Daphnia pulex: one gene and its partners. The protein of the gene in region 1 purifies or fractionates together with the protein of each later gene. This does not show direct contact. Links are inferred from orthologs where the notes say so. Each region holds a gene or a part of one and is shown in the gene's direction. Other genes may lie near its edges.

What was found.
Region 2: the proteins of metastasis-associated protein MTA3-like (region 1) and chromatin assembly factor 1 p55 subunit purify together in Drosophila melanogaster (affinity purification with western blotting; 4 studies listed by BioGRID, with this or other methods). This does not show direct contact. The link is inferred for Daphnia pulex from reciprocal best matches to the Drosophila melanogaster genes MTA1-like and Caf1-55.
Region 3: the proteins of metastasis-associated protein MTA3-like (region 1) and chromodomain-helicase-DNA-binding protein Mi-2 homolog fractionate together in Drosophila melanogaster (co-fractionation; 3 studies listed by BioGRID, with this or other methods). This does not show direct contact. The link is inferred for Daphnia pulex from reciprocal best matches to the Drosophila melanogaster genes MTA1-like and Mi-2.
Region 4: the proteins of metastasis-associated protein MTA3-like (region 1) and histone deacetylase 1-like fractionate together in Drosophila melanogaster (co-fractionation; 3 studies listed by BioGRID, with this or other methods). This does not show direct contact. The link is inferred for Daphnia pulex from reciprocal best matches to the Drosophila melanogaster genes MTA1-like and HDAC1.

Annotation. Positions count from the first base shown.
Region 1 is NC_060020.1:5,940,944-5,949,273, forward strand, and holds metastasis-associated protein MTA3-like, read left to right. Parts: upstream 1-3,916; 5' UTR 3,917-4,088; coding exon 4,089-4,116; intron 4,117-4,241; coding exon 4,242-4,309; intron 4,310-4,369; coding exon 4,370-4,463; intron 4,464-4,524; coding exon 4,525-4,946; intron 4,947-5,012; coding exon 5,013-5,130; intron 5,131-5,190; coding exon 5,191-5,393; intron 5,394-5,461; coding exon 5,462-5,609; intron 5,610-5,679; coding exon 5,680-5,854; intron 5,855-5,925; coding exon 5,926-6,038; intron 6,039-6,101; coding exon 6,102-6,340; intron 6,341-6,495; coding exon 6,496-6,517; intron 6,518-6,582; coding exon 6,583-6,696; intron 6,697-6,764; coding exon 6,765-7,001; intron 7,002-7,073; coding exon 7,074-7,160; intron 7,161-7,247; coding exon 7,248-7,725; intron 7,726-7,876; coding exon 7,877-7,961; 3' UTR 7,962-8,187; downstream 8,188-8,330. Other genes in the region: probable tubulin polyglutamylase ttll-15, read left to right, coding at 77-215, 289-379, 486-649, 746-921, 982-1,106, 1,183-1,399, 1,479-1,589; uridine diphosphate glucose pyrophosphatase NUDT22-like, read left to right, coding at 2,617-2,888, 2,955-3,159.
Region 2 is NC_060023.1:6,452,103-6,460,019, reverse strand, and holds chromatin assembly factor 1 p55 subunit, read left to right. Parts: upstream 1-1,358; 5' UTR 1,359-1,496; coding exon 1,497-1,515; intron 1,516-1,577; coding exon 1,578-1,725; intron 1,726-1,794; coding exon 1,795-1,940; intron 1,941-2,000; coding exon 2,001-2,205; intron 2,206-2,278; coding exon 2,279-2,651; intron 2,652-2,721; coding exon 2,722-2,934; intron 2,935-2,998; coding exon 2,999-3,178; 3' UTR 3,179-3,338; downstream 3,339-7,917. Other genes in the region: apolipoprotein D-like, read left to right, coding at 5,313-5,450, 5,517-5,650, 5,729-5,823, 5,900-5,995, 6,061-6,203; uncharacterized protein LOC124197707, read right to left, coding at 7,705-7,917. UniProt on the Drosophila melanogaster protein: Core histone-binding subunit that may target chromatin assembly factors, chromatin remodeling factors and histone deacetylases to their histone substrates in a manner that is regulated by nucleosomal DNA.
Region 3 is NC_060018.1:5,943,641-5,950,268, forward strand, and holds the end of chromodomain-helicase-DNA-binding protein Mi-2 homolog, read left to right. Parts: coding exon 1-1,066; intron 1,067-1,125; coding exon 1,126-1,611; intron 1,612-1,678; coding exon 1,679-1,909; intron 1,910-2,148; coding exon 2,149-2,240; intron 2,241-2,296; coding exon 2,297-3,495; intron 3,496-3,568; coding exon 3,569-3,999; 3' UTR 4,000-4,413; downstream 4,414-6,628. Other genes in the region: phenylalanine--tRNA ligase alpha subunit A-like, read right to left, coding at 3,816-3,865. UniProt on the Drosophila melanogaster protein: ATP-dependent chromatin-remodeling factor which acts in nucleosome-remodeling by catalyzing ATP-dependent nucleosome mobilization. Involved in regulating transcription. Plays a vital role in development.
Region 4 is NC_060024.1:1,148,259-1,156,459, forward strand, and holds histone deacetylase 1-like, read left to right. Parts: upstream 1-2,749; 5' UTR 2,750-2,889; coding exon 2,890-2,941; intron 2,942-3,434; coding exon 3,435-3,463; intron 3,464-3,528; coding exon 3,529-3,612; intron 3,613-3,673; coding exon 3,674-3,791; intron 3,792-3,855; coding exon 3,856-4,031; intron 4,032-4,103; coding exon 4,104-4,283; intron 4,284-4,341; coding exon 4,342-4,543; intron 4,544-4,599; coding exon 4,600-4,849; intron 4,850-4,906; coding exon 4,907-4,965; intron 4,966-5,047; coding exon 5,048-5,201; intron 5,202-5,265; coding exon 5,266-5,492; intron 5,493-5,551; coding exon 5,552-5,637; 3' UTR 5,638-5,819; downstream 5,820-8,201. Other genes in the region: ribosome biogenesis protein WDR12 homolog, read right to left, coding at 7,731-7,860, 7,919-8,051, 8,120-8,201. UniProt on the Drosophila melanogaster protein: Catalyzes the deacetylation of lysine residues on the N-terminal part of the core histones (H2A, H2B, H3 and H4).

The DNA of each region.
Region 1 (8,330 bases):
GTATTTGAAAAAATAGTAGTGTAGATAGAAAGTAGAGTAAACTGGAGAAAAGCTTGATAAAAATTTTATGATCTAGGCAAAGAAGAATCCCGAAAGTTTGTTTGTCCAGAAAAGTAACAATCACCGAGGTATCAAAATCCAACCGTTGGTTGATCTAGACTTGGAGACACCAGGGACGTTCGTCCAAGAGTACGTTCGCAAACCTTTTTTGATAGGTGCGGCGCGTTTATTTTAATGTAAGCGACTTAATTTCAACTTTTGTCTAACTGATCATTAAATAACCGGCAGATGGGCACAAGTTCGATATTGGTGTTTATACGATCATTACGTCAATCGAACCACTTAGAGTCTATATCTATGATGGTGACATCCTATTTCGGTATTAAAAGTTTTCCTACCTCCGCCGAAAGATTTAACGAGGTTAACCCGGTTAACCCCTCGTTAAATTATTAATTTTTAAAAATTTCTTTGAATCACGATTTCAGATTTTGTCCAGAAAAATACCATCCTTTTGATGTTAAGAAAATCGATAAATATGTAATTGGAGATGACTATTTACCAATATGGAACGTTTCGTCATTGAAACCGTATTATTCAGGTTTGGGATTCGGTATGAAGGAGTCTTTTAATGCCTACCTTCTCAGCATAGGTACGCTTGTACGGCTTGGCAAGGACATTAAAAAAAAAAATTTCTTGTTTCTCAATGAATTTATACATTTTTAAAAATGAATTTATCTGATAAAAGGTAAAGATCCTAAAATCATTTGGCAGCAAATTGATGATGCGATTCGAACAATGCTGTTGAGACGAGAATTATCCTTGGCATCGGCAAGTTCCAAATTTGCGTCATCTCGTAATTTTTTCGAAATGATTCGAGTGGATTTCGTTGTGGACGAAGATCTCAACGTCTTCATTATGGAAGTATGACTTTAGAAACCGTGAATAATTATTGATTATTAAATTTACAAATTAATATTCCAGGCGAACATGTCACCAAATTTGTCGTCTCAACACTTCCCTCCAAACAGGCTAATGTATGAACAGGTCATCTTCAATGTATTGAAACTGATCGGTATTATTCCTTCTGGATATCCAAATTCAGTCGGGTAAAAAAATAGCTTTGACATTTTCTTATTTCTTCATGGTTTTTAATGTCTTAACTAAATAATTTTTGGGAATTAGAACTGACGATGAACTACTATCGCAGCCCGAAGTGGCGTTTAAAGATTTAGTCGTATTTCCCGAGCGGTGTGCGGCCTCCCGTTGTGCCAATTGTTCCAGTCTTGAATGTAAGCTTTGCAAGCCTTGTCTGACTGAATCATTGAAATCTGATTTGACAGAGGCCTTCAAAGAACACACCCGTCGACATGTATGCCGTCGCGTTGTTCCACCGTCGTTGGTAAGCAGTGCTTATTAGGTCAATCAATTGTTATTTTTGAAATGAGTTCTCTTAAAATTGTCCCGTTGTCATTATTTAGATGCCGGAAGAAATAGAGGAAGGTGTGGACGTTAAAGGTCTAACCGAGATTAACCAACTAATGCATTCCTGGTTTCATGGCAAGTGTCTCTTAGATAGTTCTTGGTGTTAAAATGTAAGGCTAAATTTCAACGTCGTTATAGCCATCTACTGTCCATTTTTACCGTGGTGTAGCAGTTTGATATACTGAATAGATACATTATATGGCTATGCAAATAAAGAAAATTCCTGGTGAATCCTTCCATCCGTCGCAAATCCGTGATCTTACTATTCCTGAAAGATACGATTTCACTTTTCAGCACTCGAGGCGCTAGTTAATTTATTTGTTGTAAAACAGGGTCCTCTACCGAGATTTTATGTAATCATTAGGAACTAACTTCTGTCAACGTCAACGAAATTTGGTAAACCATGGTAAACAATAAACTTATTTGTTAGCGTTTCGTCAAAAAAATGTTTTGACTGAATATTCATGTAAGATTTAATGGTCTTGTGTTCGTGCTTGACTTGCATACATTTTTACTCTCCAATCAATGTTTAGGTACGTAGTTTTTGTAATTTAAGTAATAAACACAGGAAAATAATAATGTCATTCTGCGCTTGTTTTTGAATAGATCATCATTGCTCTATCAAATCGAATAGAACACACATCATCACTGTAAGCACCGGGAGATTTTAGTTGTTTTTAAAAAACCGTTTCTATGGATGAGTTCACTTTCAAAACACAAAATGGGACAGAAGGAGTTGAAATTATCAACTTGAGTTTCAGCAAAATACCCATCTTAAGAAGTCAAACCCAAATACATTTTTCTAGCAGATTTAACAACAAATCTGATATTTGGATAGAAAAATCTATTAAGTTGATATGGAATGAAAAATGTAAAAATAATGATAGGTTATACAATCAATCAAAATTTCGATTTGAAGGTATAACAATTGATGATGATAACCAAGTTGTTTTTAATCTGGGACTAACAACTTACATGGAGTTAATAGGAACAAATTGCAATCCATTTGGGAAGGAGTTAGTTGCGTACGGAACTCGGTGTTTTAACAATAAGCGGTCGTGCTTAGCTGACCCATTGGGTGTAGGATCTCTGTTGTTAACTTCAGATGGCAAATTTCTGTTCTTGAAACGTGCTATGTGGACTGGTGAGGACAAAGGCAAACTAGATAGGCCTGGTGGTCACCCTGAACCAGATAATGTGTCAACATCTATACAGTCTTGGACAGAAGAAGAATGCACTGCTCCAGAAAACTCGCTTCGAATTCGAGAAGAGGTTTTCGACTCGGTTAAATGTGAAATTCGCGATGAAGTTAATTTACCACTGGAATCATTAAAGGACCCTCTACTGTTAGGAGTAGTTCGAAGCCTCGAACGACTTGGGCGGCCGAGTGCTGAATTTCTTGTGCTGTGAGTGCATTTTTAAGAGTTAATTGTCTCACATTTTAAAATAAAATTCTGATCATATATTTGCAGTTGCTCTTTGACATCTAAAGAAGTAGAAAATCTCTATTTGAAGAGTTGTCAAGCAGAAGCTGACGAATCGGTAGATATTGTGTTTCTACCGGAAGAGAAGGTTCGTGGATTGGATTTGGATCAGAGTATCTGGCACAGCCTTACTGATGCAGCTTGTGGAGCAATAAAACTCTACAGTCAATGTTACTCGAGCTGCCCAAGTTAGCCGTTATTTGGAACCTGAGTGAAACTGTTTATTTTAAGAATTATGAACCAATCTCAGTTCATGTTACACACATATATATTATAAATAATAAATACATTTTGAAGTACCCGACAACATTTATTAGATTATTCTTACTATTTGCAGGGGTATGCTATTTGGGTGAAAAACGCACTGCACTATAGTGCAGGCATATATGCCTGCTTAGTGCTAACACCACCTACAACAGCAGGTGCGCAATTGAAATCTTTAATTTTAACTTAAAACGGCCAGAGGGAAAGAGAGATAACTGCGCAAATAAATTAAAGCAATAAAATGAAACCAGTGTTTATCTTATTTTTATTTTATCTTTAAGCTCTCCGAAATTCAGAAGAATCTAAAGAGATACTTCAGAACGTACCCGGTTTTGAGTTCAAATATCTAAATTCGAGTAAGCACATTTATAAAATGCATTGTGCTGTTTTAATCATATCTCAGCTACCTGCACTGTCAATTCCTCGAAAAATTTAAATTCCGGTAAAAAAAATAGAAATATATTAAATTCCTTTTGCTATTTTTACCAATGATTTGTCGTTATAAAAATTTTGATTTCAAGCCATACAAGAACAATTATTTTTCAAGTTACTAGGAAATAACGTTAAAAATCTAGGATACATTTCATTTCTTAACAATCTGCAATCTGGAGCGCGAGCGCGCTTGGCGCTTGTGAAAAATCGAGTTTGGTTTGTTTGGTTGGTTCAGAGAAGGGTTCAGCGTCCATCTAAGATCCGTAGTGCAATTAAACGCCACCCCTAGCGGCAGCTTGGTGCAACTGAAGACACTTGTACCAAGTTGCTTGTACGACCAGAGTTTTTCACTATTCATGATAATTTGACTATATTAAGCACTTTTTGTTGTGAATTACACTAAGTGACGAAGTTTTCTACTGGAAAATGACAACTAATATGTATCGAGTGGGGGGTAAGTGTCTTTATCATATAAGAAATGCCAATGACATACGCCGGGTAACATGTCAAGACTCGGCGCGATGAACAACATTGGTTCGACCGAGTGATATTTATTTATTAATGTGTTGTTAATTTCAGACTATGTCTACTTTGAGACTGCACCCTCCATGCCTTATCAAATTCGAAGGATTGAAGAGTTAAATAAGGTAGGAAGTCAGTGTAATCTTCTTTCACCTGTCAGATAGTATTATTTTGTGTCTATTTAGACATCAAGCGGTAATGTGGAAGCCAAAGTTATGTGCTATTTTCGACGAAGGGACATACCTGCTACCCTGCTTTCCCTTGCTGATAAACATCAAGGTGAGCTTATTAGTTTAACAAATTTAAATAATTACTTGATCTCAAAATGAATTTTTATTAGAATTTGTTGATGGTGGAGTAAATGAAAATAATGGTAATGGTACAGCTAAAACCGATCCAATCAGCTCTCCTGCAAAAGCTGTCACATCACCTACATCAAATGCTGATGGTGCATCTGCTGATCCTGATCCTGCAGTCAAGATGGAAACAGAATCAGATGGTGACAATACTTCAAGCAAAAAGGAAGAAGAAAAAACTACCTCTGTAGTTGAAATTAAAACAGAGAAAGAAGCAGTTGAAAAGGTTGAAGAGAAAGAGCCAGTAGATGAAGAGTTGAATTTGAAACAAAAAAATCAGCTTAATCAAAGAGAATTGTTCCTTTCAAAACAAGTTGAAATTCTTCCAGCAACAAATATTCGTGGAAAATGCAGTGTTACCCTCCTTAATGAGACTGAATCATTTTCGTCTTACATTGACAAAGAGGTATTATACTATTATTAATTCTCATTATGATCAACCACTTTCTAAGTTCCAACAATTAAATTTTAGGACGCATTTTTTTATACATTGGTGTACGATCCAGTGCAGCGAACTCTGCTAGCTGATCGTGGAGAAATCCGCGTTGGTTCCCGGTTTCAGGCAGAGATCACCCCTCTTATGAAAGAAGGTCAATAACTTTACCTGGTGATTATATTCGTAAGAAATACTAACATATATGTCAATACAGGTACTACAGACGGTCGCAACATGGAAGAATTAGAAGTCTTAACGTGGACCCCTGAACACGGGTTATCAGATCGTGAAATAGATCAGTTCCTGGTTGTTGCGAGATCAGTGGGAACATTCGCCCGAGCATTAGATTGTTCTTCTTCTGTCAAACAACCCAGCTTACACATGAGTGCAGCTGCTGCTTCAAGAGATATAACTTTGGTATGTGAACTATGAACCATTTTGAAATTCAAATATTCTTTGCATCTTAATTTTTTTTTAAATTTTAGTTCCATGCCATGGATGCACTACACCAGTCAGAATATGATTTAGGCAAAGCAACGTGCGCTCTCATTCCCCCAACTGGTCCTATTTTATGTCGTGATCAAATGGAAGAGTGGTCCGCCTCTGAAGCAAATCTTTTTGAAGAAGCAATGGGTAATATCGGATTTCTGATGTGTTCCGATTATTTAGTTTACTCACTATCATTTATTTGGTGTTATCACAGAGAAATACGGAAAAGATTTTAATGATGTTCGCCAAGATTTTTTGAATTGGAAAGTCCCGTCCAGCTTAATCGAATACTATTATTTATGGAAAACTACTGATCGCTACGTTCAACAAAAAAGAGTGAAGGCTGTCGAAGCTGAATCAAAACTAAAACAAGTCTACATACCTACATAGTAAGCAATACCAGTACCATACAAATAATTTATTGCATTCGAAACATCTTTTTTGTTTGAATTATTTTTAGTAACAAACCTCATCCCGCTGCAATTGGTCCACCTCTTCCGCAATCATCGAAGAACGGAGCTCACCAAATCGAAATTGGTTTGGGTCCGGGCAAATTTTGTGAATGTTGCGCAGGTAACTCCAATTACAATCGTTTTCGGTCCGGCTTTTTAACTGTTAACACATTTCGTTTTCCAGTTGCAACTTCGGTTCAATGGTACGCATGGAGTCCAAATAATACTGCCTCGTCTGCCGTTCCACCACAAAGCAGATTGTGCCAATCGTGTTGGTCCTATTGGAAAAAGTACGGGGATCTCACCGTATCGAATAAGGCAGCCTTGCCTGCTTCATCCGACGAAGAGTCCAAGAACTTGAGTGGTGGTCCTGAAGCCCTGACATCACGTCCACATCGTTGCACAACTCAAGGATGTGGAAAGGTAGGCCAGCTTCTAAAAAAATGGAGATTTTAGTTCTCCCTTCGAAGTTATACATAACATTTTTGTGTGAATTGGGGAATTATTTGATCTAATATGCACAATTTTTCTTTGGCTCGTGGTCTACCGTTTCCTTCGATTATCCTCGTTCATCGTAGACTCGAACTGCTTTTTATTTGGGTAACATTGATTCTTAATTATAAATTGATAATAGATCTAATTGTTTTCTTTAAAATTCTATACAGCTGTAACACCTACAACGCGGCTGGCTCGAAGGTTTTCTGCTCACTTGTTGCGACCTCGTCATGCTGCACGATTCCCTTTCCTTCCTATCAGCGCTGCAGCGATCCGACAGGATTGTAAGTTAATCTCAGAGTCCCCGAAAGAAAGCTTTTGGTGAAACTATTGGTTTCTTTTAACCTTGTAGTCCAAATGCGTATGGCTCGAAAGTCACCTGCAGAAGTGCAATCTTGGATGTTGCGTGCCCAGAAACCGCTGGCACCGATTCGTCCTCCCAAACGTATACGCGTCGCCGACTTGACTTTCCGATTGGCTCGTGGTCAGATCCTTCCCACTACGGCTACCTGGCTCATTCTGCCTGATCGTTCCTTGCCCAAACCCAAGCTGATGCGTGAAGCTTTTCCAAAGCCTCCAAAAGCCGCCGGTAGAATGATTTAAACAAAACAAATTTGTAATTTGTTTCATAAACTAACTTGTTGGTTTGGCTCCAACGTAGACGGTAGCCTCATTTACGATAAGATCGTCTTACCGCAGCGTGACGGAGACCGACTTAAAAGGCGTCTGGATGACTCACCTTTGGAAGGTAAGTTTTCCAATTTCATTAAGCTGAAACATTTATGAGGACACAGTTATTTTCAATTTCATGTGTTTTCTTAATTTTTGTCTTAAGGTCCTCCCTTCAAACGATCTGCTCGTGAGAGTCCCAGCAATGTTTCTCCACTCTCCGTTTTGGCTCCACTGTCTGGTCTGGCCATGGGAATGAGCGGAAGTCCAACGCCCATCAACGCATCTCCATTTCTACCCAACTTATCTAGCATTTCATCTCTACCAATATCTTCATTGCGACCTAATATTCCGTCAGAGCTCTATGTCTCTGCTTTGACTAATTCTAGCGGTCTTGCTCCCTTATTGCCTGGAACTAAGGGCACTCCGTCACCGTCTTCCGCTATCTCGCCGACAGTAAAGCCCAGTTTGCTTCCGTCCGCTCCGCAGTCACTTACCGCACCCAACCTACTGGCCGGAAGAGGTGCTCGCAGCCATGGATCACGCGGCGGGCTTCATGGGCATTCGGGCGGAAGAATCAAGCAGTTGCCCACATGGATGGATGCACCTGATGACCTCTTTTTCCATTCGACTCAAGTTACCAAGTGAGTGAGACGTAGCCCGATAGTAAGTTGAATAGCCGAGATAACCCCTCCGAGCTCTAGTCATCTAGCATCTGTCACCTGGCGTTTGGGATTTTTATCGCTTGTCTGCATAGTCTGGTTAAAATTTACATTTTCTTCTTGTCGATTACAGGAAACTTCGACGCCAGTTGGCCACACAAGAACTCCGGCGGGCTGCACGCAAACCGTGGCGACCATTGACCCCTCGTAAAGCCTGAACAACCCCCTTCGTCTCCCTCCCTCCCACCCCCACCCCCTTTTTTTGCTGTAATGCATCTCCCTTATCACCCTACATTTGCCTGCCGTTTTCAATTGTTGTAATCTCTTTCCCCTCCCTGATGAATCAAATGGGTCGGCCTCTTTACGAAAACTGGCGTCATGATATACTCGACACAAACTTCTTTTTAACAAATTGCTTCATCATTACATGTAGCATCATCATTACATTCGTGTCTTTTTCTTTTCGTTGCAGATTTGTTGACGTTTTTATGGAAATTGAAAATTCCTGACTGACGTTGCCTCCTGTTATCTTCAATCCGTTTTTTATCGTTTATTTCGGAAATCTTTTCCAGTATGGGGCTGATGGG
Region 2 (7,917 bases), on another chromosome or scaffold:
TCATTGCGCTAAAAACAACCGCTTTTATCAGTTTCTTAAATAGTTTTTCCTTAGCTGCAGCAACCAAGACCAAAACCAAAATTTTTGTTTATCCAACTTTTGGTTGAACCATATTTGTTTCTTCTTTTTTTAACATAACTCTGATGCTTTAACGTGGTTAATATGGTGTATGGGTGTCTTTCGTGCAAAAGCTTATATCGTACCATGCTGGATGAATGATGATGATGAATATATTGGGTCCGATCGAATCTACAATGAATTATTGTTCAAATGAACGGAAGGCCAACAGCTAACTTAAATTGTGGAATATCTCTTTTGAAATGAGAACAGAAGTTGACTTCAATTTTGGACCATTGTTATGATAATATCTCAACCGGCATTTCCATCCATTATTACTCCTCATATTCCTCATACTCCTCATACTACACGTAATGCTCGGCGAAATATATATATATATATATTTCATTTGGTTGAAGCACTACGTTATTAGCCTTTAGTGAATGTTGTGATAGCAGAAAATTTTAATCCAATAAATACGTTATGAAGGAATGGAAAGAAATGACGGTGTTTTCAAATCATTAATTTTTCTTAGACGCAGTAAAAAATAATCCTATTAACGCTGTACAACTTCTATACTGAACTCAATTAAATTTATGGCAAAAAATACACTGTGCAATGAAAGAGAATTTTGAAGTGGTTTACTCGTCTTGCTATCTTCTAGTTCAAATATCGGTTTGATTGTCTGATGACGGAAAATATTACATTGTTTAACGGATGGCCGGAGGAGGCTTTCTTCATGATTTACTGTGAACCATTTCCTAGAGCGCCAATCGCCTTTACATTGTAACAGGTAGATCACTTTAACCTTGACAACAAAGGTGAAGCACCTTCAAATTTCCTTCCATTGTTTTGGCATCTAGCGCTAAACCACTATGAAATTAATTATGCGCAACAGAAAAAGCTTGAGAAAAAGTTAAAATCATATTGGGCATCGGAAAACCATTAAAATTTTGTGGAATTAAGCATTGATATATTTTTGAAAGCAAATATTTTTTTCTAGAAAAAATAACTGTATTCCTATAACAATATAACTGTTTTTATGCCTTACACTGCCTTACATGAAGATTTTTTCCTAGACCTACCCACAGGCATACAAATCTCTCAACACCCATGGCCTACCTAAATATTGTTTTTAATTATTACTAATTAAATTTAATTTTTAAATCAGACTTTTGAAGTAGGCAAATTCTTTTAATTTGACAACAATTTTATTATTTTCAAGATTTTTTTCTTTAAAGACATGACCATGCCATCTATGAACGGCAAAATAAACTATTGAAGTAGTTTCGACTTTTTCCAAAGTGGCACCACTGGAATTGCTTTCGTTTTTGCCGCCATTTAACAAAGCAGCACGCTCAAAAGTCTCTGCTAACCGAATCTATTGCTTGACAGGTTCCAGCCGGTTCATCATTAGTAAAGGACTTGATTGACTAACGATGGCAGATAAAGATGGAGGTATCTGTTGAAATCATTCTTTGTTATTGGATGACAGTGAAATTTAATCCAATCTTTTTTAGAGCCCTTTGATGAAGCAGTGGAAGAACGCGTCATCAACGAGGAATACAAAATTTGGAAGAAAAATACTCCATTTTTGTATGATTTGGTTATGACACATGCTCTGGAATGGCCTTCACTTACAGCTCAATGGCTTCCTGATGTTACAAGGTAAATTACTGAGAACAAAGGTGTTTTATTGTTTCTTTCTAACTGTTGAATGTTTCTTTTCTCCGTTAGGCCTGAAGGCAAAGACTACTCAGTGCATCGTCTCATCCTTGGTACTCACACTAGCGATGAACAAAATCACCTCTTGATTGCATCTGTCCAGCTTCCTAATGAGGATGCTCAGTTTGATGCTTCACATTATGACAATGATAAAGGAGGTAGTCATTTAACTTGATCAAATCTGTTGCACTATTGTTTTAATGCTTCATCTCTATCAGAGTTTGGAGGCTTTGGATCAGTGAGTGGTAAGATTGAAATTGAGATCAAGATCAACCATGAAGGAGAAGTCAACAGGGCTCGCTACATGCCCCAGAATCCTTGTGTGATTGCCACTAAAACACCTTCATCTGACGTCTTGGTCTTTGACTACACAAAACATCCTTCTCGCCCTGATCCTAGTGGAGAGTGCCACCCTGATTTACGGTGAGTCATTTTTTATTCAAATGATTTCTTATGACCTAAACTTGTTACTCACAACTACATTATCTTTTTTTAGTCTGAGAGGACACCAGAAGGAAGGTTACGGTTTGTCTTGGAATCCAAACCTTAATGGTCACTTGCTGTCAGCATCTGATGACCACACCATTTGCTTGTGGGATATTAACGCATCGCCGAGAGAGAATCGTGTTCTCGACGCCAAAACCGTATTCACTGGCCACACAGCAGTTGTAGAAGATGTCGCTTGGCACTTGCTTCACGAGTCCTTGTTTGGTTCCGTTGCCGATGATCAGAAGCTTATGATTTGGGATACTCGCAGCAATAACACCAGCCGGCCCTCCCATACCGTGGATGCTCATACGGCTGAAGTGAACTGTCTGTCATTCAATCCTTACTCCGAATTTATTTTAGCTACCGGATCTGCAGACAAAGTATTCATTTAATATTAAAATCTACTATTTATTCTACTCAACTAAACATGTCTCCAAATTGTATTTCTAGACTGTAGCTCTTTGGGATTTGAGAAATCTTAAACTCAAATTACATTCGTTCGAGTCGCACAAGGATGAAATCTTTCAAGTCCAATGGTCACCGCATAATGAGACTATTTTGGCTTCGTCTGGCACCGACCGACGCTTGCATGTCTGGGACTTGTCCAAAATTGGAGAAGAACAATCCACCGAAGATGCCGAAGATGGCCCTCCAGAATTGTTGGTAAGTTGAAATATTGATGCGATTGTTTGATTCGGATGCTGTTTAATTATTGAATTCTCAACAGTTCATTCACGGTGGTCATACGGCCAAGATCTCTGATTTCTCCTGGAACCCGAATGAGCCCTGGGTCATCTGCTCCGTCTCTGAGGATAACATCATGCAAGTTTGGCAAATGGCTGAAAATATTTACAACGACGAGGAGCCTGAGACGCCAGCCTCAGAACTGGAAACCCCTACTAATTAATGCATTTCCAGTGTATCGCCCTATACCCTATTTCTCATCGTTTGATTCTTTACTGTCCCACGTACACGCTCATCTTTTTTTTAACATTCAAATCTTCGAATTTGGCCCTTACATCGCTTGGAGATCCAAGTTTGTGTATTCAATAAATAGCTTTCCGCGATTTGGTTCAATTTGAATTATTCTAATTACTGCCGTTAATTAGGTTACTAGTCCATTTGCAGTCCATTAAGTGGGTTGTGATGAAATTTCAATAAATGGTTGAAAGACGCTCTTATTCAGAACAAAATTCGACTCTTGATCGCCTGACCCTATGACGCAATCATTAGATTTCGAAAGCTAAATAACAGTAAATTGCCTAATTCCCGACTGTTCTAATTATTCGTGATTTTGTATTTGTACATGTTCGACTGTTTTCTTTGAACTCGGATTTCTAATCTGTGATGTTTGGATTTAGAAGCCAACAGCATATCCGTCTTGACCGTGAATCAACATTGTTCGGCTCACACTGGCCCGCCAGCAAGCAGCAGGTAAACATCTATCGTCTTCAGCTGGGTGTGGGCATCATGCGGCAGTAAAAAAGTTCCTCTCCTACCCGTGAATAAGTGTAGAGGACCGATGTTATTTATTATTCAACCTTGAAAACGCAATTAAAGCGCTTGAGGTTGAGCATGACGAAGACTCCAGCAGCATCCTCAACACCGTGTTCGGCCAAGGTCCGTCTGGATGGTTGGACCCCGTATTGGGATTGAGAAAACGCCAACATTTGTTATGTTTATGGATCGCGAAATGTGAAAATCGATTCCACATTTTCATAATGTTTTTGTTTGTTTGTTTTTTTCGCTTTTTTGTCAGTTGAAATATGCCTTGCAAAAACGTGACGCATCGGTTTTTCAAGGGCAGTTACCCAAACGCCCAAAACAAAGGCGCGCAATATTTTTTTCCAATATCCGCAAACGACTGAAATAAAATTCATTGAAAATACCGGCATCGTTAATCTCTTCTGATTTTCAATTTTAAAAAATCGATTTTGTATTTTTTTGTTTCAATGAAACCTCATCATAAAATTATTTTTACGCATTGAAAAGCCACGGGTTGCTTAACTGTTAATAAAGGTATTTACCGAATTTTCCAGACAATACATTGTATAATTAATTTCGGTTTTAGTCTCTAACACGGAAATTGCGTTTCAAGTCGGTGCTGGGCCTATCGGTGCTGGTTGTCAAGTCACTTTCCTGACTGAATAGATCCATTAATCACCTAATCGAAAGAGCGCTGGCCATCGTTGAGATATGCATTTTCGGTTGGAGGAAGCCAACATCAAAGAGATGGATGATGCTTATTTTCAATCGGGGTATACAAGTAAAATAACTCACGACAGAGCTGTTTACCCGATCTTTGGCCTTGCGGGACCTTGATCGAGCGCGTTGACGCGTGGTGTTACGTACGGCTCGCGGTGCTGTACTGGGACTTGGTCTCTTAACCCCAGGGTTTAATTTCCACTTTCAAGGTTGAATCATAATAAACACGAATTTCGTTTTTTCCCTCCCCAAAAAAGCTGCATGTGGCATTCATGGATGCCCATTTCCAGCCGAATCAACCTTTCGCGCTCAGCGGGGAGGCAGCAATAACAGCTCAGCTCGACCTCCGAAGCGGGCGTGACGCGGCCACAAAGAACGAGACGGATTGCAGCAGCACGTTGAAAAATCTGTGAAGCAAGTGGCTGGACGATCGTGCCTTTCGATAGCATTCGAGAAGCAGGAATATTTTTCTTCTTCTTCTTCAGCATGCTGGAATTGATTATATCCAGCGCTATAAGAAACGAGAAGGGTAGGGTCTCGAAGAGTTGACCTGCGTGAAACAATTACGCCCCACTGAGGAGAGTCTACCACCACCACACTCGTATCTTCTCTATCCTCCCCTCCAAAAAACAAGCAGCGGGGTTCTTTGTTGGCACATCGGTTACTAACCCAGTGCTAGGAGCGTTCTTTTTTGTTATCACGTTATACAAGGTGCGCAAGGCGTGAATTTCTTGTCTTAGTGTATAAAAGATACGCGCAGCTCGTCGTTGTGGATTAGACCGCCGGTGTTTGTCATCCGAAGAACACACGCCAGGACAAAAACATCAAACATCACAATGGCAAAGAACCTTAGTGCGCTGATGCTGCTGGCTGCTGTACTGACAGTCGAAATACCGTCCTTCGTTTTGGGCCAGATTGTAATTCCCGGTGATTGTCCCAAATACCCAACGCAGCCCAGCTTTAATCCAGCTCAGGTATAATATTAATTTTGTAATTTCTACCGTGTGTTGTGGTCGTTACGCAATTTTTACGTGCGCTAGTTTATTACTACTCGGTGGTACGAGATCAGCCGGTATCCGTCAACTTTCGAGGACGACACCAGGTGCTCGCTGATTGACATCAGACCGTCCAAACAGGGAGCTCTCAAGATGAGTTTCAAAGGAATTAGCAATATGTAAGTTTTGAGAATCGACTGAGACTGGCATCCCAAAATGATGTTCAACCGAAATATCTTATTTAACATTTTTGACAGAGACAACGCTGTTACGATTGCAGCGGGCAATGCTTACTTTGACTACGGAGAATTGAGCAAATTTCTAGTTCAGATGCCTATCGTCAGTTGGAACGGTAAGACAAAGAAATTCTGAAATTATTAATAAAGCATTTCTAGATTAATCAATTGTAAACAAAATTTCTCGTGCAGCAACCGTGGACATTCGATTCTGGATTATCGCTACTGACTACACTAATTATGCTCTAGCCTGGAGTTGCGATCCCCTTTGCACTGGATATCGGCGAGGTAATCCCCTCATTTGATAATAATTAATTCAATGGCTAATTTTCTGAATCTATAATTCAATGCAGAGCAATTGTGGCTTTTGGGTAAGCAGAAAACGCTATCAGACACCGTCATGAATACAGTCACCTCCAGGTTCTTTACCAACGGGCCTTTTAAGGCGGGCAATCTGGTTCCGGTTGTTCAGAAAGACTGTCCATCCATCGTATAGAGTGAAGCAAAACGCGTCAAAATTTACGGAATGAGCAATTAACGATCAAAGAAAAGAATATTGCTGCTCGTCACGACATTCAAAACAATTCACAATCATTCACTTTTGTAACGAGTAATGACTTTTGACTTTATTCGATCACTTTTAACATTCTTTTATTACTTTGTGGTTGTGGAGGGTGACATTTCATAATTAAGCGTATAAGGTGTTCTTTTCTCCTTTGTAGACGGTATACGATGCAACAAATACAGGATTTTTATAACGGTAATCAATTCATTTCGTTTTTGGTTCTTAATTACTTTTGTAAATATTGTGTAAACATAAATTAACGGAGGAAAACATGGCGCCCCTTTTCACTTATTACTGCGTCAACTGAACAAAGAGTCAAAGACGCATATATGTTGTATAGGGGAAAACCTTTTCCCCTAAATGTTTCCCCTAAAGGTATATAAAGTGTGCAGGTAATTTCCACCAGAAACGTTTTATGGCACTGGTTTATGGCTGGCTGTCGCTCTATGGATATGCACCATACCCGAAGTTTTTTTTCTATCCACTACGATATCTCCTTAATACACGAAACCAATATAGTATTACATTTTAAACGGTTTTCAAATGTCTGAGAAAAGAACCAGTATACATCACAGCGACCTGAGACACAATGCTCGTAAACTTTCGTGATATGAACCGATTTCCGTTTCTCGGTAAAATCAATAACAGTCTGAACTTGAACGCGTATAAGGCTATCGTGATTTATTCAACAGACGCCGTTCATCAAGTAGACAATGATAGGGTCCGTTAACGACCTTAATTTTCTAATGAATCAGTCGTCGAGCATCGACCGATTAACCTGGCAGTTAGTAAGGTTCAATGTATTGTGACATCAACAGCAGTGCAGCGCTTGTCGACTTTGGGATGCCGTTTACTTCTTGCATAATATGTCTGCGTATGGTCGTTTTCCATTAAATGTCTTTCTTTATGACGCAATTAAAGCATTATATCGTGAATAATTCATGGGAGATTTAAAACCAGACAGGCAGACACCCAAATCACCAGAAAATTGAAGGAGAAACCGTTTAATTACTAAATCACGCTACCACTGATTATTAACTGCTGTGACTCAGTCATATAATAATGAACACTATTATTTATTTAACTAAATTCTCATGTATACATTTTGTGTGGTAAGGCAATAACAACAAACCAAAATCCTTGTGGATCCAGGTTTGAAAAGAAAATTGCATTTAAGTTAAAAATAAGAACATGAAACAAAATAGGGTAAAACACAATTTTCTAAACTGATTTTTATCAATCAGGTTTTGCGGCCTTTTACTAGAAAGAAAAAGTCCAGAATAGGCGACTTTATAGGCTGAATGATGTTAGAAATGAATGCATAAATAATAAAAACATTATTCTAAGGAATATAACTAAAAAGCAAATGCAATTACTTTCGCTTCTAAAATAGAAAAAGAGAGTGAGACAAAGTCTTAACTGTCTAAAATATCTAACACAAGGCGAAACCACTTGGCATGCACGACAATTGCGCTGGCCCGCTCAGATTAATAGTTTTCTTGATCGTGGTCGTGGAAAAGGAGAAGGACGTCGACGTCGATGTAACAGTCACTAATAGACTCAAGGCACGATTTTGGCGTCCGTTGTTCTTGTCGATATTTACGAATTGACGCTGTTCCTCTTCGATATTTGTCTGAGAAGAAGT
Region 3 (6,628 bases), on another chromosome or scaffold:
ACGAGTTGTCATTCGCGAGCACGAACTTTCGTTTGAAGAAGGTGCCGTCCGGGGAGGCAACAAAGCTTGCAAAATTCGGACGAATTCCGTCAAGTTCCATGTTCTTTTGACCAGCTACGAATTGGTATCGATCGACGCTGCTCTCTTGAACTCAATCGAATGGGCTGTTTTAGTCGTCGACGAAGCTCATCGCTTGAAAAACAATCAGTCCAAATTTTTCCGCATCCTCAACAGCTATAATCTTCGCTACAAACTTCTTCTGACTGGAACGCCGTTGCAAAACAATTTAGAGGAGTTGTTTCACTTGCTCAATTTTCTGTGCCCAGATAAATTTAACGATCTGTTGGCCTTCACAAACGAGTTTGCTGATCTAGCAAAGGAAGAGCAAGTGAAACGCCTGCACGATATGCTCGGCCCGCACATGTTGCGTCGTCTTAAAGCCGACGTCTTGAAGAACATGCCAACGAAATCCGAATTCATCGTTCGAGTTGAATTGTCGCCTATGCAGAAGAAGTACTACAAGTATGTTCTGACACGTAACTTTGAAGCCCTCAATTCCCGATCTGGCGGTCAACAAGTCTCGTTGCTCAACATTATGATGGACTTGAAGAAGTGTTGCAACCATCCATACCTTTTCCCAGTTGCATCTCAAGAAGCACCTTGTTTACAAAATGGCATGTACGAGACCACCGCTTTGGTGAAAGCCTCAGGAAAGCTTGTCTTGCTCTCAAAAATGCTTCGAGTATTGAAAGAACAGGGGCATCGTGTCCTCATTTTCTCACAGATGACAAAAATGTTGGACATTTTAGAAGACTTTCTAGAGGGAGAGCAGTACAAATATGAGCGCATTGATGGTGGAATTACCGGTACTTTGCGTCAGGATGCCATCGATCGCTTCAATGCTCCCGGAGCCCCGCAGTTTGTGTTTTTGCTGTCCACACGAGCAGGTGGTCTGGGTATTAACTTGGCGACGGCTGATACTGTCGTAATCTACGATTCCGATTGGAATCCCCACAACGATATTCAGGCTTTTTCACGAGCCCATCGTATTGGACAAGCCAACAAGGTACTGATAATAGTTCTTTAGTTTAAAAATGTCATTTCATTATTTTGTTTTGTATTTAGGTCATGATCTATCGATTCGTTACTCGTAATTCAGTCGAAGAAAGAGTAACACAGGTGGCAAAGAAGAAGATGATGTTGACTCATTTGGTCGTCCGCCCTGGAATGGGAGCCAAGGGAACATTTTCCAAACAAGAACTTGATGATATCCTTAGGTTTGGTACGGAAGAACTTTTCAAAGAAGAAGAAGGCAAGGAGGATGAAGCCATCCATTATGACGATGAAGCCATCAATCAGCTAGTTGATCGCTCAAATGAGGGCATAGAGCAAAAAGAGAGTTGGGCCAACGATTACTTATCCTCTTTCAAGGTGGCATCCTACGTCACGAAAGAAGGAGATGATGAAGAGGATCAGGATACTGAAATTATTAAGCAAGAAGCAGAAAATACCGACCCTGCTTACTGGGAGAAGCTTCTCCGTCATCACTACGAACAACAACAAGAGGATCTTGCTAGATCTCTTGGTAAAGGAAAGCGTGTACGAAAACAGGTGACTATTTTTCAGCCATTTAAATGACACGTTTCCTTTACGTAATTTTTTTTTCTTGGAACGTTAGGTTAACTACAATGACGGTGTTGAGGGACGTGACGATACTTCTTGGCAAGAAAACGTATCGGACTACAACTCTGATTTTTCGGGAGCATCCGACGATGATAAAGAAGATGATGACTTTGATGATCGGGGAGATGAGCCTGGCCGTGGTCGCCGCCGCAAAGGCACCGAGCGTCGCGATGAAAAAGATCGTCCTTTACCTCCTCTTCTTGCCAGAGTTGGTGGCAACATGGAGGTAAATTGCTAACTTTTTTCATGTCTTTTTGTAAATGCCCATTCAAAAGTTTAAAAAATACGGTGGCGTTGAAGGACCACAGCTGCCGAGGTATTTTGAGGGCTACAGAAAATAATTTGGCGAGATCATGGAGTGTTTTATTTGAGTTGTAATTGACGCTAAAGGCTCTCGCCTTCATTTTATCATGATTTGCTAATTTTTTTGTGATCATGCCGTTAAACTTTTTTTTTAAATATTAGGTCTTGGGGTTCAATGCTCGACAACGCAAAGCTTTCTTGAATGCTGTCATGCGCTACGGAATGCCTCCTCAAGATGCTTTCAACACTCAATGGCAAGTGTCTTTTCATATTCAGATAATTAGCCATATTAACGTTGTTATTGTGATAGGTTGGTACGTGATTTGCGGGGCAAGTCTGAACGCAATTTCAAGGCTTACGTTTCACTCTTCATGCGTCATCTTTGTGAGCCTGGTGCTGATAATGCCGAAACTTTTGCTGACGGAGTACCACGAGAGGGACTAAACCGACAACACGTTTTGACGCGAATCGGTGTCATGTCACTGATTCGCAAAAAGGTGCATGAATTCGAACATATTAACGGACTTTACAGTATGCCTGAAGTTGCGGCTCGGGCTGCTGAGCTGGTCGCTGCCAAGGACAAAGCCATTGAAGATAAAGTAACAACTTCTCAGGCTCCATCGGGCGAAAGCAGTTCTGCTACCCCGGCCGTCTCAGCGCCATCTACAGCTTGTCCATCTCCTACTACAACCACGAATGAAGAAACCAAGAAAAGAGACGGAGAAGACAAAGCAGAGGCAGATGATAAAAAGGAGGTCGATATTAAGAAAGAAAACGATGAGAAATCAAATCACGTAGACGAAAAGGAAAAGAAAGAGGAGGAAAAATCTAAATCAGAACCTTCCGAAACTATGGAAGTTGATGAAGAAAATTCGAAGACCATCAAAGTGGAAGATGAAAGCAAAAAGGAGATCAAGAGCGAGGAAAAGGCCAAAAAAGAGACCAAGGCTGAAGAAAAAATTGATTCTTCCGAAGTGGAGGTGGAAAAAATCGTCTCTGTGAAAGAAGAAAAGTCAGCAGAAGAAAAAGCCAAGGATAAAGAACTTGCTAAAGAAGAGCGTAGCAAGCGTAAATTCATGTTTAACATAGCAGATGGAGGCTTCACCGAACTTCACACCTTGTGGCAGAACGAAGAAAAAGCAGCTGTTCCAGGCAGAGAGTACGAAATTTGGCATCGGCGCCATGACTATTGGCTCTTAGCCGGCATCGTTACACACGGTTATGGGAGATGGCAAGATATTCAGAACGACGTTCGTTATGCCATTATCAACGAACCCTTCAAGATGGACGTCGGTAAAGGCAATTTCTTGGAAATAAAAAATAAGTTTTTGGCCCGACGCTTCAAGCTATTAGAACAGGCTTTGGTTATTGAAGAGCAATTGCGAAGAGCAGCCTACCTCAATTTGACGCAGGATTCAACCCATCCTGCCATGGCACTTAATGCTCGCTTCGCCGAAGTGGAATGCCTGGCCGAATCCCATCAACATCTCTCTAAGGAAAGTCTTGCAGGTAAAAATGGTTTTTCTGTTCAAATTTCCACCTGTGACTTTTTTCTACCGAATTTTTGTTTTTTTCTTCTTAGGTAACAAGCCAGCCAACGCGGTATTGCATAAGGTTCTGAATCAATTGGAAGAGCTTCTCTCGGACATGAAATCCGATGTGTCGCGTCTACCTGCTACTTTGGCTAGAATTCCACCTGTAGCGCAACGTCTTCAGATGTCCGAACGATCAATTTTGTCTCGTCTCGCTACCTCTGCAAGCCAACAAGCCGCCCAACAGCAAGCACAAGCTGCTTTTGGGAACCACTTTCCACCTGGCTTGACGGGCGGTCAGATGCCTTTCACTGGGCTAAATCTGGCCAATTTCCGGCCACAGTTTACTCTCCCCGGTCAGACTCCGACATCCAATTTGGCAATGACTGCAGCTGCTGCCGCCGCTGCTGCGGCAGCCGCAGCCGGCGTCCCTCAGGCAGCGTTCCCTGGAACTTCTCCTCCTGGCTCTGATAGCAAATAGACATTTCTTCAGATAGCTTTTTTTTATAGTATAACTTGCATAACACACTTTCTCACTTCACCTCCCCCTCCCCCTTTTTCTTCCATTTTTCATTAAGGAGTTAATTGGCTGCTCAAAACATTCCTGCCCTCTACCCTGACGACTGTGCTGTCTTTTTCTGCTCGATACCTCCCTCCCTCCCTCCCAACGTCTTTTGATTTGATTCTCGTAATCGCCGCTTCTTTCACTGTATTTATGACTATAATTCTCTTCATTAAATTTTTTTTCTAATTTTGCCATTGTGTCCGGACTCATTCAAACCATGTTCTCTGTTTCACATGATTGTTCCATTTGTGTTGGCAAAGCGTTGACTTCCTTGAATGATAACCTTCATATCTGCGGATCGTAAGAATAAAACTAATAATGAACCTTCAACTTTAATTGTCTTTGTAGGAACAGGATGAAGTGTTGTTTAAATCCACACACAAACAAACAAATATTGCCTTACGTTGCTGTTGTTCATTTCAGGAAACTCGTGGCTCTACTGGGTTATGTGATTGTGATACAAGGAATTCAAATATCCGTCAGATTTCCTGCGCAGTCGGTATTCTTGGAAAATCAGGTGTAATCAGTATGTAAAACAAGAAAGTATTATTACGTATATGATTTCCCTTTTTAGTTTTTGAAGATCAACTCATTTCCGAATGTGTGGTTTGTAAACAATGGAAACACGAGAATCTTAAATCGCAGGTAACGTCAAATCTTTCGTATCACAGGATGTATTGTGTGACAGTGAGTTCGTTTCTTCATGAGCAGAGATTATAATACTGCCTAGAAGGGTGCCGGACATTCAGGCCAGCAAGGAAGCAAGGTTGATGATCGTGGCCGGCAGGCCGCCATTGCCCACATTCGTGATGTGATGGCCCACGTTCGAGTGTATAAGTGAACGTCGGCTAAGGTTCACGTATAATTTAAAGAACTCGAGGGTTAGTGTAGTTTTTTTTTTTAAAACTAACCCTCAAATTCTTCAAAAATTATGAAATAATTCACGGGTCATCGTGAAGGGCAATGGATAATAATGGTGCAATTTTTTTAAAATTGCACCATTATTATTGCACCACCTAAAAGAACATTCGCAAATCCCGTGTGGGCCGTGTTTGTGAAGCACGTAATCAGTAGGGAAACGGGGAAAATACCTAAAAAACATTCTCCAATTCTATTGACCTGCGCCCTAGCGGCAAGCTCAAGTATCGCCTAGAGAGAGTTATAGGGGATTTCCGTCTTTACTCTTTACAGTCTTTAGTCTTTACATTCGTAGTCTGTGGTCAGAGTAAACGTGAAAGTCGTGCAACCCACCGTCAACTATTTTGTTCAAACTCATTGTATTCTACTGTGTAATCAAAATGATACAGGTGAAAACCAACACTAGCTTTATTTCATGCTAAAACATATACTCTTCTCATGTTTTATTAGGATTAATCTTAATTATCGGCTGTTTTGGTTTTATTTACAGGTTTCTAAATTGGCATGACTGACTATATGAGAAGTTATGTCCTTCCAAGAAAAGGACTTACAGTCAACAAGATTTCTTATTTGCTAACCCGTTGGCTGCTACCCATGAATCTCCCTATTTGTCAACAACAAACAAAGAGGTTAAATATTGCGATCATGCTATCATCATTGTAAGTTGTGTTTACATTGAATTTAGAGAAGTTGTCATACTAATAGCAATTTTAACGATTGTTTGGTTTCTTATTTAGATGTTGCCTATAAGACCAAATGTGGGGCATATGGTTATCCCTCCAAAATAAGGCAATCACACGTTCAATGCGGATCATTCACTTTGTCATTGAACTTGACTCATTCCATCTTCTGGATTGCTTAGGAAAGCTGATTGGTGTTATTCTGTGTAACTTCATTGTCATGTCACTGAATTTAAATTTTGTTTACATTTTGTTTAGCTTGATTTAGCCATTTAGGTAATGACCGAGAAGATGCGGCCTACATGAACATCATTTAGGCGACCAGCATCATTCGACTACCCAACCGGCTTCTACTACCCTGCTCTCAACACAGCATGGAGTTTTACTCTTAGATTTTTGGCTGTTCGCGATGTGTGATGGCGTTTCCTTGGACGAGATGATGATTTTGGCGAGAAAAATATTGCGTGAGTATATACTTAAAACTGTTTAATTATTCTTTTACTTCTTTTTTAAATGTTTTTTTTTTTTTTCATTTACAGCAACCTGAAGGTTCCTAAATTTGCATGACAGACTTTATGAAAAGTAATGTTCTTTCAAGAAAGTCAACAAGGTCCCTTTTTGCTAACCCAATGGCTGCTACCCTTGAATCTCCCTATTTAGCTCCTTACACAGTCCCTCTTGATTTGAGGTATTGCTTTTTGTCGCTACAATCTTCTTTGAATATTATTGTCATCCAAATAAATGTTCATTCTGCTTACAGGGTGATCCTTCGCTACTGATCATGGACTCCATTGGTGAAACTGAAAACCGACGAGAGAATGCTGTAATCCAAGACTGATAAATTGTGTGCTGATTTAAACAAGTTGCGACTGGAGAACCACCTGCAGGTCGAGGGTCTATGAGAAAGGTAACCGATTAATTATTTTTAATGTGCTTATCATGTAAAC
Region 4 (8,201 bases), on another chromosome or scaffold:
ACAGCTACAGATTACTTTATTCATTAATGATTATGTTACTGTGATGCAGCCCATTGCATTTGGATTGGACATTCTACAGGGAGAGAAGGATGTTACTTCCGGAAACCTACTACCTTCCATAGTAGATATTGGGAATAGTTTGAATAATCTCAAGAATCGAGATGAAAACTCTAGCCATCCCCCTATTAGTATTTCACTCCCATTAGTTGATGCCTTGTTAGAAAGATTGAAAAAAAGATTTGACATCTTTCTTAGGCAAGAGAATTTTCAGTTGTCGGCTCACTACACCCAAAATTTAAATTGATTTGGTTAGGGACAAGCGAAAAAGATACCAAACTGAAGAAACAAATCATCAGCAAGATTGAAATCCATCTAACATATTTAGACGTCTCTGATTCTACTAAGGCAACAACCCCTGATGACCCTACTGATATTTATTCTGGGTTAATGTAAAATAGCAAGGGGAATTCTATTTTCCAACAAAAAGAAGGTTGAGCTCACTCGGTTTCTTGAAGCTAAGCCAATATACAATCTTTTCTTGATTACTTCCAAAATATAAAAAACTTGTTTTGGAAATTTAATGATAGCATTGCATCTTACGCTGTAACGGAAAGATTTTTTTCTTTGTTTGGGCGTGTGTTAACTTCTACTAGAACACTTCTTAGTGATACGATTTTAATTTTCTTGTTTTTCTTAAGTCAAATATCTGTCCTTTTTCTACAATAACTTAAATTAAATAAGTCATAATAATTGGGCATCATCTGGCAAACCGACCCCTTCAAAATCCGTTTCCCCTTGTCGAGAAAAACCACCGCAAGGGGATTTCGAACAAAGACTAGAGGGGAACCCTCCCCTTGGATCGGTTTTGGATTCGAAGGGGTGGGGAAACGACTTGAAATGACCGCTGAAATGTAGGAATTGATTCAAAAGCGGATTGACTTTGAATCAATACAAATGTCTTTCATGCAACAATAAAATAAAGAAACGCGTAGTCCCATGAGGCCCGTATGATGCTGGGGCGACGGGTTTTTTGGGGGAGCAGAAGCATGACAGAAGTAGGTGCGTGGTTGGTCTCAGCAGGCCCGTGGTTAGGGTATAGGGGGACAACACTTACCAGGACGCAGCCAAACAGACGAATTTCCCGTAGGGATTCTGTAGGGGAGACCGGACCCATGTTGGACACTGTTCCAAGTTGGACAGTGTCTTAAAATATAGTAAAAATTGCTTTAAAATTCTAGATTTCACATTGTTCTAGATGTGATGATGCTAGATCCTGTGTAGTTTAATTAATTTCCCGAGAGTAGAACGGGAGTTATAGGAGGAAGAAAAAACACGATAAATTATTGCAAAATTTTTCGCCCGAATTATTGATCTTGCTCCAAGTTTGTTTGAGTAAAAAAATTTTTAAACAAATGTTTTTAAATTATTTATTATTGGAAGAACTATCATACAAGGTTTTTAAAATAATTTAAAGACATTAATTTCCACCTTTTCGAACCCCGTCTAACTTGGTACAGGCCCCTGTCTAATTTCACCCCGGCTCGGTAAAAAACACCGAAAAATGGAAATCAATGTAAATTCTTAAATTTTAAAGTTACACATTTTAAAAAAATCAAGGGGGTGGAGGCAAGGCTAAAAAATGACCTTAGCCAAAAAAAAATTCTTTTGCCTAAGGGGATCGGGAGATATGCGGGAAAAACCGCGACTGTCCAAGAGGGGTCCGGTCTCCCCTACAGGTTTTTTGGCATACGGGAGGATTAGTTCCAATTTCGCCAATAGATGGCTTCGATTACTTTTTCGACAGTAGATGGTGGGTCGGTCGAATTTCACCAATTTTAACTGCGCGCGTTGAAACTGGCATCTAGGCTCTAGCGACTAAAAGTAAACTGTCATCTGCCTCTTTCTCTTCTTCTTCTAGATTTTTTTATATCTTCCCGTCCATCGATGACTGGAAAGAGATTCAGCTCTTTTCAGACCGACCAGGAAAGAATAACATCTGTAATAGCCTACATCAGCCAAAAATTTTTATTTTTATTTTTTGTCCGCTTGGCGCAACCTAAGACTGGTGGCTTTTTCAAATCTTATTTAGAAAAGAAACCAAAACGAAGATTTCGACATTTTTCCCCCTGCCCCTTCTCGGAAGACGAATTCGACTGCGCTGCTCCTTCCGGCGAGCCCATCTCCTTATCTCTGAAAACGTCTAACGGAGTTGATAGATCGTTAGATCTCCAGCTTAATGGCTCTGGTTTCTAGTTCCATACTCCTTAGTCCCTAACCTAATCCCTAATTTCTAAATTTATTATTTACTAGAATATGTTTATTTCAAATACCTTCGTATTTGGAAATTGATAATATAAGATTTAAAAAATATAACTGCGTAATTTTTTCATTTTGAAAATCACTTGTTTCGTGTGGGTTTTCCAAAAAAATCAAATTCCAATATATTTATTAAACATTATGTTTCCCAGAAGGGTTCCGACTTCTGAAAACTGATTATTACATATTCAATCCTATCAACAACATTCATGGAAAAATTGCTTCTTGCAATTAGTTTGACGTGATACTTTACCTTGACTCCTCCACCAGGGCAACAGATAATTATCCATTACTCTGCCTCCACTTATTATCATCATTTTTATAGTTTTGTAAGGACTCGACTCGAATCGAAGGAGATTCGAGATTTTTTGAGAGCTGGCAAATATGTTTCCTCAAATTCGCGTTTGAGGCTTTGGGCTATCGTAGTTAGTTTGTAGATTTGGCAACACTGTAAATGTAAGCATTCGCATTCGACGCAGCGAAAGCAATTGATGCTGGTGTCTTTTCTTTTCAGTGTAACTGTCGAAAAGTAAAAATAATTTTAATAAAGAATTGTGATTTTCAATTTCGAAAATGACTACTCAACCAAGTCACAGCAGAAAGCGAGTTTGCTACTATTATGACAGTAAGTTAGAAAAATAATTGTATCATGTATAATTAACGTTTCATGTCGCGTGTTTGACTGCCGGCGTCCTTTTTTAAATTAATTATTTCAGTGGTCATATTCTATTTATTTTATAAATTCCCAAAGATACTTGATTTTTGCTAAATTTATATACCTATCTATTGTGACATTTTGATGTACAAAATTTATGTGGAAGTAACAATATTTGGCAAGTGGGACGTCATTTATGCACAGTAGTATCACAAAGAATTATAGATGTTTGAAGACTGAAGAGCACATAGTATTAAAAAAGAAAGATATGTGGCTATATTATCATTTAAATTGGGTTTTATTTTTGAATTGCTTCAAAATTTTATTAAGATTTTCATGTCAAATTTGTCGATGAGGTTGTCGGGGGTATAATTGACGTCCTACTTGGTGGGTGGGTTGGCATTTTTATGGTGACTTTTCATTTTAACTCTTAAATTTGTAATTCCTTTTTTTATTAACCTAGGTGACATCGGGAATTTTTATTATGGACAGGTAATAATATTGAACACATTTATGTTAATGAAACTGTAATTAATAATAAATTTTTGAAATTGAAGGGACATCCCATGAAACCTCATCGCATACGCATGACCCACAACTTGCTCTTGAATTATGGGCTATACCGTAAAATGGAAATCTATGTAAAAATTCAAGAAGCTAGATGATAATTGCCACAGTTTAATTGAATTTATTTTTTGTTAGCGACCACACAAAGCCACAGCTGAAGAAATGACCAAGTTCCACAGTGATGATTACATTCGATTTCTTCGAAGCATCAGACCTGACAATATGACAGAATACAATAAACAGATGCAGAGATGTAAGATGTGTTTACAATTTGATCAATTTGAAATTGTGAATTAATTTATTTGTTTGTTTTTTAGTTAATGTGGGTGAAGACTGTCCTGTTTTTGATGGGCTCTACGAATTTTGTCAATTATCTGCTGGAGGTTCTGTAGCTGGAGCTGTGAAGCTCAACAAGCAAGCAACTGAGATAGCTGTGAACTGGGCTGGGGGATTACATCATGCCAAAAAGTCTGAGGCATCAGGATTCTGCTATGTAAATGAATAACTTAATAACAGTTTTTGGATATAACTTACTAACTAATGTTCATCTCTTTCCATATTTTAGGTAAATGACATAGTGTTGGCAATTTTAGAGCTTCTGAAATACCACCAACGTGTTTTGTATATTGACATTGATATTCATCATGGTGATGGAGTGGAAGAAGCCTTTTACACTACTGATCGTGTAATGACTGTTTCATTTCACAAATATGGAGAATATTTTCCTGGAACTGGAGATCTCAGAGTAAGAAGTTTTGAACTAAATTTTGAATAAGAAACTGTTATTTATCCTTTTGTTGTAGGACATTGGTGCAGGCAAAGGAAAATATTATGCCGTAAATTTCCCCCTGAGAGATGGAATAGATGATGAAAGCTATGAGCAAATCTTCGTACCTATCATGTCAAAAGTGATGGAAACTTATCAGCCGAGTGCAGTGGTTCTCCAATGCGGTGCCGATAGTTTGTCTGGTGATCGTTTGGGATGCTTTAATCTTACTTTGAAAGGTATGTGTTCGGAACTATTGTTTTTAGTATACATGTTATTATCAAGTTGTCTTTAGGTCACGCAAAATGTGTTGATTTTGTTAAGAAACATAATCTGCCTTTACTGCTGCTTGGAGGTGGTGGTTACACTATTCGAAATGTTGCCCGTTGTTGGACTTACGAGACCGCAGTGGCACTGGGAAATGACATTGCAAATGAACTCCCTTACAACGATTATTTTGAATATTTTGGTCCCGATTTTAAATTGCACATTAGTCCGTCTAACATGGCAAATCAAAATACTCCGGAATATTTAGATAAAATCAAGTAAGTTTTTAGTGTTTTATTCAAAGAATTATATGTTGAGTGACATGTTTTTCTTAGAACTCGTCTTTTCGAAAACCTCCGCATGTTACCTCATGCTCCTGGAGTCCAAATGCAAGGTACTTGCATTAAATTTAATTCTTCAATTGTATTTATTATTTCATTGCATTGCGTTTAACTGATCCAAAATTATTCTGACAGCAATTCCCGAGGATGCCATTAACGAAGATTCCGACGAAGAAGATAAATCTAATCCCGATGAACGTATATCTATACGAGCATCAGATAAAAGGATTGCACCAGACAATGAATACAGTGATTCCGAAGATGAAGGGGATTCCCGCCGAGATCAAAGGTCTGAATTCATTAATAAATCGTGCAATTTTTCATTTTTTCAATCATTATTCTCTACTATATAGATCATTTAAAGGAGCAAATCGCAAAAGACCAAGAACCGAAACAGCTGAGGGTGCTGCAGAGGTCAAAAAGGAAGAAAAGGAGGACAAAGAAGTGAATGGCGAGAATAAGGAAGGTACTTCAAAAGAGACTGTAAAGGATTCGGACAAGAAAAATGAGACAACACTGAAGTCTAGTGGTGAATCTTCTAGTGAAGGTAGTGCTTTGTCCATGGCGAATGAAATAAAAGGTTAGTGTTCACGTAATCGTGGTTATCTCAGATTTCTTACCAATTATATGTATTTTCAGAACCCGAAGAAGATAAATCTACATCGCATGAATTAAGCTCCCCTGTTCCGGTTTGCGCCGATAGCAGTAAAGGAGAAAAAGTTTGAAAATACCAATTAGGGTTTTATTTCATTTTCGCTAATTTTACACTGATGGTGATTCTTCGAGATTCATTCACATCCAATTTTCTACGTGTATCTTAATTAGAATGTAAACTCCGGCTCCTATCACCAACTGCATACCCTCAATCGGGTTCTCAGTCTTCAATACATTTTTACTAAGTTTTTCATTTTAGTTTGGTCTTTTTTCTACATCCTAAGATACGCACTTCACTTATGTTGAGTGCATACTTTAAAACTGGAATACTGATTCAACAACATGTAGCGTAACAGAAGCTTTAATAGGCAAGAAGCGTTTATTTTTAAGAATGATTTTGTAGGGAGAATCAGCGATCAGTAAGCCCAACCTAGTTGGTGGAACGTTGGAATACCGTAGGAAAAGTTTGAGGTTTTACTAGGATTAAGGTTGAAGTTAATAAATATTAAATACTTGAATTGGGATAGTGCATATTTTAATTTCAAAACTATGATAAATTTTACTATTCTGGTGTTAGGTTACATAGGTTAGATTACATATGTTAGGTTACAGTACTAGTCACTAGTATTGTTATCTAGTTATCTTATTTCTTAAATCATTATGTTTTTATAGGCCTCAATAATATAAAAAAATAATTCTAAAGGTTTCATCGATATGGATAACCGATAAGTTAAGGCAACTGGTGGTACCTCTAGTGCTTCGTTATTGTTTCAGTCACGGCTCCCAGTTATTAATTTGCAAATTATATTGTGATAATTTTTAAGTTCGTCGGTTTCGTAAAAAGTGGTTTTTAAAGTGGTGATTAAAAGTCCAACTGAACGGAAAGTAATGTATGTGAACGTGTTATATGAATTGCTTTCGTGTTTGTTGCGTTTAAACCGCGTGGTTTCCTGAGTTTTGATTTCCTCTTCTAGGTCAAGTTCGTTCATCCGATTTCTCCAGTACTTAATCCAATCTGGCATGAAGTCATTTTACAAAGATTCTTTCGATTGAGTACCTTGAGATCAATGTCTTTTCCAAAAAGATTTCCAATCAGCGGCATAAAGAGGGTTAGCCTCTGACCGTTGCTCCTTGAACTGCCGCACACAATCCAGCAGTCTCTCTTCCGGTAATTCCGGACACTATTTAGTTCGTAGCTGTGGTATAGGTTTCCAGCGCATCGAGCATCCCCAAGTGTTTTTGGATCTTCTCGGTGAAACGGGAGAAAGAAATCCGAAGTTGAATTTCAGATTTACTTCTGTTTTAGTTATATCAGAATATAATTTGGCATTTGTTCGGCAATTTTGCAATCGGCGAGTGCTGGTCTCAACGGAACTGCACTAAATAAGGCATTCCAATTTGTATCTGAACACGATGATTGGTAAAATAAACGGCAATACTTAACATGACAATCATTATTACCTTGAAGCGTATCTAAATCCTGATTTTCAGTTGGAATATTGTGAAACTCGTGGAATTCATGCAGCTGGATGTGTCTTACTCGTTCATTTCTTTTTTATTTCTTCCGTCACCCTTACTCCCTATACTTGGATACTTGTCAGCTTGAACACCATGTTCCCGCTTTTAAGCTCCTGTTGAACTCATCGATAAAATACTTGGTTAGCTGATACCTTTTGCTGGAAATCTCGAACATACGACTCATGACTCTGAGAATACGAATTCTGCTGGTAAAACTAATACCTAAAACTATGACTACACAATTCTCCAGACCGCGTTGTTAAGCTTGCCCCCTTGCAGCTAGTAGATTGCGTCGTTGAAACTTGGAAGTGCACACCTATCCAGCTGAAGCAGAATGTATCAAGCGCTGTGACTGGTTAATATGCAATCCAATTAATTTTGTATCACTTAAAAAAATGGGTAGGAAAAAATGTATAGGATTAAAACTAGACTTAGTCCATTCGAAAAATACAGAAGAAAAAAATATTACTCGAGGCTATATTATAGCTAGTACGACGTTGCCTTGTCGGCGGTACGCGTCACTGGACTACTGACTACTCTATACACCATGTCTATACTTCGTTTTAAAGTTAACTAACGGCCAAAATAGACTAATTCATTCCAGTTTCCAAAAATTTGTTTATCTCAACTTGGTGGCAATTTTAATTTATACTTCAGATTTAAAGATCTTTAACGTATTATCCGTTGCACCACTTATTATTATCGAAGGATTTGACCAGTCAGCGCACAGGATCTTGCCTTCATGTCCCGTCATGTCGTATAACGGAGCCTTGGGACTGAAAAGAAAAATTATTTCTCATTGAATTAACACGCAATTAATTATCAAATACTTGCCTCCTACTATCCCACAACTTTAAAATGTTATCATGGCCACCGGATACGAATAATCTTTCATGTGTCGTAGACCAACAAACCGTTGATACCCATCCAACGTGTGAAGTGAATGTGGCTTTCACAATTGACCCCTCTGTCAAAAAAAAAAATTGGAAATCATTAATGAGCCTATTAAAATGGTATAAAGCGCAACAGATGTACCTTGAGATCGGGCATCATACAAACGTATATGACGATCAGCTGAAGCAGTGATAAGAGTTTGGTTTAATGGAGAACGAGAAAT